3 linked regions of the Arabidopsis thaliana genome follow. The protein of the gene in region 2 interacts with the protein of the main gene of each other region in a pairwise test. Each region holds a gene or a part of one and is shown on either strand. Other genes may lie near its edges.

The links.
Region 1: the proteins of ANNAT1 (region 2) and AT1G05640 interact in a protein complementation assay, tested with the Arabidopsis thaliana proteins (one large-scale study listed by BioGRID).
Region 3: the proteins of ANNAT1 (region 2) and AT3G61480 interact in a two-hybrid assay, tested with the Arabidopsis thaliana proteins (one large-scale study listed by BioGRID).

Annotation. Positions count from the first base shown.
Region 1 is NC_003070.9:1,688,004-1,691,759, forward strand, and holds the start of AT1G05640 (Ankyrin repeat family protein), read right to left. Parts: upstream 1,953-3,756; 5' UTR 1,499-1,952; coding exon 895-1,498; intron 796-894; coding exon 386-795; intron 303-385; coding exon 1-302. Other genes in the region: AT1G05650 (Pectin lyase-like superfamily protein), read right to left, coding at 2,261-2,488, 2,599-2,827, 2,976-3,265, 3,686-3,756.
Region 2 is NC_003070.9:13,223,307-13,227,062, reverse strand, and holds the start of ANNAT1 (annexin 1), read right to left. Parts: upstream 1,896-3,756; 5' UTR 1,760-1,895; coding exon 1,684-1,759; intron 1,088-1,683; coding exon 942-1,087; intron 856-941; coding exon 124-855; 3' UTR 1-123. Other genes in the region: AT1G35710 (kinase family with leucine-rich repeat domain-containing protein), read right to left, coding at 2,677-2,963, 3,048-3,756.
Region 3 is NC_003074.8:22,748,189-22,751,944, forward strand, and holds the start of AT3G61480 (Quinoprotein amine dehydrogenase, beta chain-like; RIC1-like guanyl-nucleotide exchange factor), read left to right. Parts: upstream 1-1,591; 5' UTR 1,592-1,789; coding exon 1,790-1,924; intron 1,925-2,016; coding exon 2,017-2,124; intron 2,125-2,443; coding exon 2,444-2,592; intron 2,593-2,704; coding exon 2,705-2,786; intron 2,787-2,883; coding exon 2,884-3,296; intron 3,297-3,562; coding exon 3,563-3,756.

The sequences.
Region 1 (3,756 bases), about 12 Mb from region 2:
TTTAAACCATTGATGTGAAGCTTCTTCAGTCTCTTTGCGATTCTCCGCACCCTAACACCCGTTTGGCGAGACTGTTGGAGCTGAGACTGTACCTCGTGTTTAATGTCACTGACCGTTTGGTTAAGTTGCTTAGCCGGGTTTCGAGGCTTCCCAAGATCTTTAGCTGTTGCAGCTCCTGCTTCCTTCAGAACCGACACAAGCTCTGGATTTCCAATCTTTTCGGCTATATCAAGTGCAGTATCTCCAGCCTTATTCATAGCATTAAGGTTAATTCCATCAAATGATACCAAACATCTCACTATCTGCAAGCAAAGGCAAAATGCAGTTCATCAGAATTCTTGTAGATTGAGAAACTGAGGGGAGGGGGAATTAGCGATGATGATACCTTAATACGGCCTTTGTTTGTGGCAGTGTGCAACGGCGTATTCCCTTTACTATCCTCAACACTCAAAATCGCAGGATCAGGTTTCACCAACTCAAGAACAATCCCTTCGTTCTGACCTTTGACAGCCATGTGAAGCGCTGTTTGTCCCTTCTTATCAGTTCTAAACCCGATGCTTGCATCATTACCTATCAAAGACTTAACCACTTCTCTGTGCCCCATTCGCGCTGCAGAATGAAGTGCGGTTTTACCATTGTTCTTAGCTATCTTAGCTAAATGAGAATCCGTCTTTAAAAGAAGATTCACCACATCAGTGTGTCCTTGTGAAGCAGCCGTGTGCAATGCAGTTGTACACGATAGATCCACCGTCATAGCCAGATTCGGAAATGTCTCCAACAATTTCTTCAATGCCTCTGCAAAAGACAGCACACATTCAAAGATATATGTCAAGAAGGTGTACAACAATAACAAGGTCTTCAAGTTATTATCAGATTCTCTAAAGTTTCATTTACCAATATGGCCTTGTTTTGCAGCGACATGGAAAGGATCAAAACCGTTGCGAGCTTTAACTGATGCAGTATCAAGATCCATATGTTTCAACATCTCTTCAACAACTAATGAATGCCCATTTTCTGCTGCACTATAAAGAGGGGTCTCTCCTTCTAGATTCTGCTTTGATGACAACTCCTTCAACTCTTCAATGCCGTTACAAGCTCGAATCAATTCCATAACCTTTCCCAAATTCCCCGTTCGAGCTGCGAGATGAAGAGGAGAATCTCCTCTTTTACCAGGTGAGTCAGTCTTCTTCTTCCTCTCACCACCAACATTCATGAAACTTAACTGTCTCTCCATTACTACCCTAAAGCTTTTCTGCTTCTCAACAAACCCACGAAAGCTTCTCTGCCTCTCCATTGCCCTCTCCTGTTTCTCCATTGCTCTTCCTTTGATTCCATGTTTCTCAACAACATTCACAGCTAGGAAACTAACTTGCTTGTCCAAAGCTCTTCCCTTTCTCACCTGATTCTCTGCACCAACGCATCTGAGACTCTGCTGTTCCTCCACAGAGTTACCTCGAACGCTCTCTTGCTTCTCCATAACAGGAACCAGAGAACTCATGGTATGCTTCTCCCTTAGATTACACAAAGATCTTGAATAACAACTTTTTCTCCCAAATCTGAAAGATGCCAACTTTGTTTGAAGAATCCGTGAGCTCTTTTCCAGCAACCCGTGTTTCGTAATAACAGAACCAGCTTGAAAATGGAAAACCCTGACTTCCCTGTGATTTCCAGATTTCTTGTAAAGATTCAAACCGATGTGATGAAAGAAGAGAGAGAAAAAAAAAAAAGGTTGCAGCTGATTTCAGTAGAGTGTAGCTGAAACCCAATAGATTGATTTGTAAATCTCAATGCTTTTTGTGGGCAAATCATGTAAGATTCTCAGGATATAGAGATAGAGAGAGAGACTGTGATGAGTGACTGCATCTTCAGCTGTTTTCTTTATTAATTTCGCTAAACTTCCAAAATCTTTAGTAATATTAGTGATTACTTTTTCTTTTGAGTTTTGAAGCAACAAATTCTTAATTACTATGTCAATTATCTCCAGTTTAAAACTTTATATCCAGTTAAAGCTTCTTTTCTCTAATTTCTTTATATTTTTGTTGTCCAAATCAAAGACCAAAAAGCAAAAGCACAATGTGATGGTGACAACAAGTCAAAGTCTTCCACTTTGTTGGTTACTGAAAATAATATTTTATTAATAAAAAAAAAAAAATTGTATGTTACAGAAATTGGTGATCATATACCTTGTTACAGAAAACTATTTGAAAAATCAGTTTCCTAATAACATTTCACAGTGATATCATCTTAACCCCAAATAAATTCATCGATTTAGACAACTAGTAGGTTGAATAACACCAAGATTTTTCCCAACAGCATTGAAGCACAAGGAAGTAGCAGGAGTTCCTTTGTTGTAAGTAAGCTTTATGTCTTGTAATGTGATTCCCGTGCATGGATTGCTCTTGCTACACACCAGCTTCATTGCTTCCTGCGTCGCCGAAGTTCCTTGTATGTTCTTGTACGTCACTTGGGTTATCTTCACCCCCGAATGCTAATACATACCATAAACATAATAAATCTTTAGTTATTTGACTAAGTTGATAATTTGATATAGCATATTTGATTAGTCTGAAATTGATCAAAAATATGATATGGATATACCTCAGTAGGGCAACCTTGGTTGGACGGACAATAGTTTTGGTCGATTATGATAGGGTTTTGGACGTTCCTCATGATTAGATTTTGAAAGAAGACGTTTCTAACGAATCCGGTACTCGGCCTCGCCCATGACTTTATCCTCACGCCGTTTTGTGATCCGGTGAATACCGAACTCGATACTGTCACGTTCTCTACTCCGTCTTCGTTTAACTGCTTTGCCAAACTCCCGATGCTGCCAGTCATCACATCATCATATGAGTTGTGACCAGAGTGAGTGAAGGCAATATTGCTAGTTTTTTTTTTGTTGGAAATTCATGATTCCTAACAATTAATGATATATTTACATAATTTACTCTAAGGAATTAGACGGTGGTGTATACCTAACCCCGTGACCTGGGCCACAAGCAAGCTTGGAAATTAGGAAGTTGCGGGTCCCCTGACCGATAGCAACACAATCGTCTCCGGTCTGAACGGTGCTTCCGGTTAATGTGACTCCAGTGGAGAACTGAACGGTGAAGCCGTCAGTGTTTGGGCTGTCTCCGGGAGCCACCAGCCTAATGTTACGGACGGCCACATTGGTGCAACCGTTGAGGGTCATATGGCTAACCTGGCTGTTCATCGATTTCACTCCACTTATGATCACGTCTTTTGCGGAGTTGAACGATATTGACTACAGTAATTAATATATAAACGCCATAGATTAATAATAAGATTATAAATATTTCATTTTATTTTGACCAAAGAATCCATTTCCTTGTCCAAAAATCATTATCATAATAGTTATTATATGCTTATAAAATAAATTCCTAAAAATGGCATGGATAGATCATATTGAAAATTAAATGTGCCTGAATTAATATAGTTGAAAACTATCAACTAATTCCTTTTTTTTTTTAATCGTAAGTAAATGATTGGAATAAAGATATGTTATTTGACTATTAAAAAAAATATATTGACTTATTTAGTTATTACTAATCAATAATGATTAAAGCTATTTGTTGCTCTTTTGCATTCTGGTGGCGCTTATGTATGAATGTCAGATTGTTGTTTTTATTTACAATAACTATAGATAGAGGAGAAGCATATGTACCCTAACACCGGGAGGACAATTCTGGCCAGATTTCCGGCAAGACCAGAACCCACTACCTCGAGCGTCAAAAG
Region 2 (3,756 bases):
ACAAACAAGGTTTTTGTAGAAACAAAATCAAACGATTTGAAACTCATCAAAGAGAGAGAGAGGGAGATAAGAGATAACAGAAGCTGTAGAGCAGCTTATGTTTCTCTGTGGAGGATTGATTGATTAAGCATCATCTTCACCGAGAAGTGCGACGAGCATCTTCTCGTAATCTCCACGAGTGTCTTTGGTAATAGCTTTCTCCAAAGGAATGCTGTTCCTGCGCTGGTACTCCTCTCCAATGACCTTCAAGTCAATCTCAGCTCTTGTGGTCACAATTCTAGTGAGTGCTCCTTCATCAGTTCCAGTTTTGTTGATTGCTGAACGAAGAACATCGACAAAGTAAAGCTCTGGTCTTGTCAAGCACTGAATGGTTGACCTCAAAAGTGCAAGGAACTTGTCATCATCATCTCCTTCCTCAAGACTCTTGAGAATTTCCTCGCCATGATCATCTTGGTAACGGTTAAAAGTAGCATTGATCTGAGCTTTGCTTCTTGTGGACAAGATTCTAATAACATCCTCATCATTGTAGTGCTTGTCCTTGATTTTCTCATGGACCAGCTTAGCTTCTTGCTTAGCCAATGTCATGTTCACTTCATCTCCTTCGTACCTGTATGAGGTAACAAGAGAAACCAAAAGCTTTCTGAAGTCACCGGTAGTGTGGTGAGCAACGTCCTCTTCAAGAGACTTCTTGTAGCGAGCATGGTAAGCTTGCCTAGCGTGAAGCAGCTGCGTTGATGTCCTTGTGCAAGCAACTTCCATAAGAACTTGGTTGCTTGAAGTCCATCTTTTTGTAGCTTCATTAGCCAATAAAGCATCACGCTCACCGGGTTCAAGAGTCCACAACAAGATAGCTCTCTGTCCATGACCAAAAAACCAATTAGAATACAATGACTTCACACAAGATGTTTAAAAGTCGATACTTAAAAGTCCGAAAACCGAACCTCGAAATCGTTAGAGAGCTCCTTGTCAAGAGTCTTGAGAAGGTCTTCGCCGTAGGTTTCGTGGTATGCTTGCCTGATGACTTTCCTCTGTTCAGCACTTCTGTGAGCCAAGATTGATATGATCAAGTCCTCGTTCGTACCCCATCCTGCGAAAAACACGAATCAGATTCACTTTACATAACCATCAAAGTCACATACTTCAGATCCAAGTCACACACACTTCAGATCCATAATAACAGAACCGGTCAAACAGATTCACAAAATATAAATCTTAAGATCTTAGTGTTGTATTACACGTAACTACATTATAGATCTAGACTAAGAAGACAGATCTGTGACAGTGAGAATCAAAACACAACTCAATCAAGATCTCGTGTGAATGTAATCATTGTCATTATCAACATGATCAGACAATCAAAACTTCATCACTAACACAAAAGATTGTTATAGATCACACAAAGAAAGGAGATCATTGTCACTGATCCGATCCATGAAGGAACAATCTCGATCTACATCATCGTACAAATGATCATAAAACGCTACCGACACAACATTCATATCATCGGACCAAAACAAAGATCGATCCACATGAAAAACAATCAAAACAAATGATCATACAATAACCCACCAAACGAAAACCAACAGATTCACATCACTTTTACAAAAAGTGGATACTGATCATGTAAACAAGAAGGTAACAAAAACAGAGAACGTAACAAGAAGAATCATGAAACTATTATACCTTCAAAAGCGGTTCTCAATTGCTCAGCATCATCAGAAGGAGCAGGAACAGAATCAGAAACCTTAAGAGTCGCCATTTTTCTTCTACTTTTAGTGTTTTGTGTATGTTGGGAGTCGAAGCCGACACAAGATTGACTTATAAAGGGAAAGGCTAAGAGGTTTAGGACACGACGTGGCCTGTCCGTATATACCAAAAATATCCCAAACGAATTATTAATTCTTCTGCCACGTGTTTCTTACACTTTATGAATTATTTAGCATTTGCTTAACTTTATGCACAAATCATGATTTCATAAAAAACTATCGTAATCTCGCATTAACGGTTTCATTGGTTGTCACAAAATCATCCGCAAGATTATAAGTGTTTAGATTTCGTTATTATAATCCATTTTGTATTATTTTAACACGTTACAGAGTACAAGAGTGTAAGATTTTTTTATTATCACTTGCAAACGTGATGTCCATTAGAACTCATTATACAAAAAAAAACTTATTTCTTTCTTTACAAATCTCCTACTATGCATTTTTTTTTTTAATCTCCTACTATGCATAAGAAATCTCTTACTAATTCTGGCGATATACAGATAGACAGTATCCAAAACTTTATTTGAATGTTCATATGTGAGGAGTAACACAATGACCATTATCTAAAAATGCTTTTAACAGTTTTTTTTTTTTTTTTTTTTTTTTCATTTTTTTAACTTCATAGATTTCCATTAACCAAACACATTACAAGACCAAAAGGCCTAACATGGCACGCAAGCCGCAAAGATAAAAACAAACAAGGCCCAAAGACCAACAAGGGCGCAGCCCAATACATACAAAAGCTGAAGCAGGCCGAGAAGCCCAAACAACAACAACAAAAGCTGAAACGAGAGTCGACACCCCTTCCTGCAAACACAAGCAAGAACAGAGAACAAAAGCCAACAGAGATTACTGTTGCTGTATAGATAAACACAATGATAACATAGAAATTGATGGAGAAGTTCAGTTTCTAAGAAAATGTAGTGGAGATTGACAACATCGTTGGCCGAGATTCTGGATTTGCTTGTAAACACAATAAAGCCATTTCCACCATCTTCAAGAGCTTCTCTCTATTTTGTCCCCGTGGTTCTAATACACGTTCATCGGAAATGCTTCTTAGCGACAGAGCTTCTCCTGGAGACGAAGACAAACTCGATACCAAATCTCCCGGATGTTTCCCAATTATCAATTCGAGTATCAAAACCCCGAAGCTATACACATCGCATTTCTCCGTCACCTTCATCGTGTAAGCAAACTCTGTTGCGAAAAATCAAGTTCAATTTCGAATTTAGTGATTTAAATTTCATAAGCTCAAAATCAGATTTAGGGATTTAGATTTACCTGGTGCAACGTAGCCGTAGGTTCCAGCAACGGCGGACCAGTTTGATGAATCCGTCTTTAGAAGTTTTGCTGTACCAAAATCGGAGATCTTAGCTGTGTAATCGTTATCGAGAAGGATGTTTCCGCTGCTAATATCACGGTGAACGATCGGTGTTATTCGGTCATGGTGCATATACGATAAAGCGTGAGCCACACCTTTCACGACGTTGATCCTTTTGGTCCAAGTGAGTCGCTTAGCTTCTTCGTCGTTGGCTAAGAGTTTGTTTAAACTTCCTTTTTCCATGTACTCGTAGATCAGAAATGTGTGGCGGCGGTGGGAGCAGAAGCCGAAGAGCTTCACAACGTTGCGGTGACGGATCTCTGTTAATGCTTTTACCTCGTTTAGGAACTCTTGCTTCACAACTGGCTTTGATATCTCTTCGTCTATTGTGTCATGTAGTCGTTTAACGGCTATGATTGTATCTTGGAGGTTTGCTCTGTAGACTTTGCTGTATCCTCCGGTTCCGATGAGGTGTGTTGGATCGAATTCGTTTGTTGATTCGATGATATCTTGGTATTTGAATTTGCCATCAACGCTGAATATGGACATATTCTCTCCTGTTTCAGGATCTGTGTTTCTTCCATTTTGTAGTTTTCGTTTCCGAATGCAGTAGGTGAATGTGTTTGCACATATAGAGAGAATGACGAGTACTCCTAGGATTGGCACTAA
Region 3 (3,756 bases), on a different chromosome or scaffold from region 2:
AGCTTCGGCGGTGCTCAGCTCATAAGAACCATGGAGAAATCTAGCGTCGGAGAGAAATACAAACACACAACAGAGAGAGAGAGAAAGAGAGAGCTTACATTGTGAGATCAGAGCGAGAGCTTCCATCCAGAGAGAGAGAGTGAGAGCTTATATAGATGGTTTTCCGAATATATAGTGTGTGAGAACGAAGAACCATCTTTTGTTTTTTTGTTTTTTTCTTAAGTACTTTTATATAAAAACACGAGAGAGAGAGAGAGAGCACGGAGAAGAGGGAGAGAGACAGAGAAAGCAATGGTAATGATCGGAATATGGTGCACGGCGGTGATGATCGGGAAATGGTGCACGGAGGAGAGAGAGAGAGCTAAAAAAAACTTACATAGTAGTACATGAAATTTAATTGTTTATTTTTTGGGGTTTCTATGAAATCGTAGAAATATTATTTTATTAAATATGAAACTTACAATAAATATTATTTTCTTTAACCTAGAGAAATAGTAGAGATACAAGTGGATATTGGATATAAATACCTCTTTATCAAAGACATTTTATACAACACACATATCAATATTAATAATACAACGGTTGATTAAAGTCAAAAACAAAAAATCCCAACCCAAATTTTTTTAAGTTCACATATGTGTAGTTTGTTTAGCGTTTCAGAATTCTTTTCAAACCAAGTAATCCGACTTTATTTTTAACTGACTCGTTTTTTTAATTATGTTTTGGTGTCAAAACTAATCAACCCATGGAAAGTATCAACCCACATATGTGGTTTAGCTTTTTCATAAATATACATTTTAATCATTTCTTGTTTAGTTAGTGACAAGACATGTTACTTGTTTGATGACAAATATTTGTATCTCCAATTTCTAAATCTTTTAGCCAAATGAAATTATATATTTGACCAAAAAAATAAAACTAAGAAAAGTGAAAGAGTATGGGGGCATCAGAATCTCTGTCATGTGAGTACTATTTTTTGAACAAGCTAAGTAACGTCTTGTATCTATTTGATTTTTTTTTAGTATCATATAGCACGAGTGTCTTAATGAAATCGTTATTAGCTTCAATAATACTAAATAAAATGTTTACTTTCACAATATGTAACCGATTAAATTCGTAAATATTTTGTACGAAGAAAGGATCTCACTCGATAAATTAGTAATTACTATAAATTAATTATTTTTTTAATCTCGAGTGAGATCAATGTAGTATTTAACATAATTTAATAAAATAATAATTTGGTTGGAAATATAATGTAATTATATAGTCTAGTAATATTATAAATTAATAATCATTATCATAAATTAATATAAACTTATCAAACATCGGAAATTCAGATTAAAAAAGAACAAAAGTTTAGTTGTATTATTAATTATTAAAAATTTAGACGAAGGTATACTAGTTTTGTAATTCTATTATTATTACTCTATAGAATTAAATTAATAGTCTATAGAATGGTTTGAGTAAACCGAGAAATGAGAGAGAGTTCTCCTTGAACCAAGGATAATCAATAATTGATTCCCGGTTTATTCGTAAAATTAGATTCGTATCACCGAAACCAATTATATTCGCAAAATTAAAATCCGATCAACATAAACCGGTCGGGCAATTCCAATTTTGATGCTCCGTTTATTGAGCGTTTATTGATCTGCGACTGCGAGATCCATCTTCTTCTTCTTCTCCTTCTTCTTCTTCCAACGAATGTTCCTATGATCTCTGTGTATGAACAGAATCTGTAATCAGATCCATTGTAGAGAGAGATAGCCATTTCAATTCGAGGTAGCCAAAGATGTATATGGCTTACGGGTGGCCGCAGGTGATCCCGCTTCTACCTGGATCGCAGCGAGTCGTGTACCTTAAGCTCGCCGGCCGGCTATTACTGGTCGTTTCTCCGTCTCACCTGGAGCTTTGGGGTTCTTCTCAGGTGCTTTATCATCATCTCTCTGCATTTCGTAGTAATTGGAGTCTAGAGTTGGTTAACTTATATAGCTTTTTGTTTGATTTTCCCGCAATTAGCAACGAGTGAGGTTGGGAAAGTATATGAGAGATGACAAGTCGTTGCGAGAAGAAGGAGAGAATTTGCAAGCTGTGTGGAGTCCAGACTCCAAATTGATTGCTGTTCTTGTAAGTTCTTAGTCTCACTCTTTTCCTTTGCTAATTTCTGCTAATTGTTTAGTCACTATCAATCTTTATCCAGCTGAGAATTTATTGAATTGTTTATACAAAATCTTGTTATTGGATCTTCTCCAGATTGTTCTTTATGTGTAAGGATGAGAAAAAACATGTTTTTAGGTTTGATTGGTTGATGATTTCAGACATTCTAAAGCCTCTAATTTCAGTAGTATCTTATTTGAATCGTTTGATCAAGATGCATGAAAATTCGGAACTTGTGAAAAAACCAGTTTTTTGTATGTCTTCTCACCAATTATTTTTTGATTCGCAGACATCATCGTTCTTCCTTCATATATATAAAATTAAGTTTACCGATAAAAGAGTAAAACCCGGAGAGAGACAACCCTCGGAGTTGTGTTTTGCAACCATATCTCTTTTGCTAAGTGAGCAGGTCCCTTTTGCTGGCAAGGACTTGTCTGTGTAAGTGCTTTTTCTGTACGTGTCTCTGCCGTGCTCAACATTTGCCGTAGGAGTCTACACAGTTAAAACTCTGGGATTATAAATGTAAGGCCAATTCTTTCTCTCTCTGCAGGAGCAATTTTGTTAGGGACAGCAAAACTATGCTTTTGGGACTCTCCGATGGATCTTTATATAGTATTTCCTGGAAAGGAGAGGTAATGTACATCTGCTTCATCTGCATTGTTTGTTCTTGGGGTTTTTGAATTCTTTGTGCAAGATTCCTGATTTCTCATGTTTTGTTTGTCTTTGTAGTTTGGTGGAGCTTTCAGTATTGGCTCCCACCCTTCTGCTAGCAACGATGATAGACTCTTGTCCTACACTCTTGGTAATGGGCTAGTCTCTGGAGTAGCTTCACCAACACTTGCATCTGATGATAAATTCTCTACAAAACCGGCTATTGTTCAGCTGGAACTTTGCACTCGTTCCAAGTTATTGTTTGTGTTAAATTCGGATGGGCAGCTAGTAGTATGCTCTGTGAATAAGAAAGGTTTAAAGTACACTGAGAGTATTAGAGCTGAGAAGAAGTTGGGTGGTGATGCTGTTTGTGCATCAGTGGCTTCAGAGCAACAAATTCTTGCTGTGGGTACAAGAAAAGGGATGGTGGAGTTATATGATCTGTCACACTCGATCTCTCTCTTGCGAACAGTTTCTTTGCATGACTGGGGGTAAGCAACTTGTTACTATGAAAAGGGATGGTGGAATTTTGTGATGAACCTTTATTTTTTAATATTTGTTTTGAAAGGTTTGAGTATTACTATTCATCTGAGTAGTTTTTATTGTGGTGTTGTGTAAAGACCATAATATCATACTTGTCATACTACAACTGGAAGTTTATACGCCTTTGGTAGTTTTCAAGTTGTCTTACTGTGATTTATTTCATGCCCTTGATATTTTGGCTGCATCGTTAATAAAACTGTTTTAAAACTTGCAGTTATTCAGCGGATTACACTGGGCCTGTAAATAACATTGCATGGACGCCTGATAATTCTGCTTTTGCAGTTGGGTGGAAGTCGAGAGGACTTGCAGTTTGGTCTGTTTCTGGATGTAGATTAATGTCAACTGTCCGCCAAATTGGACTGACTTCTACATCTTCCCCTAAAATTAATCCAAAACAAGACTGTAAAT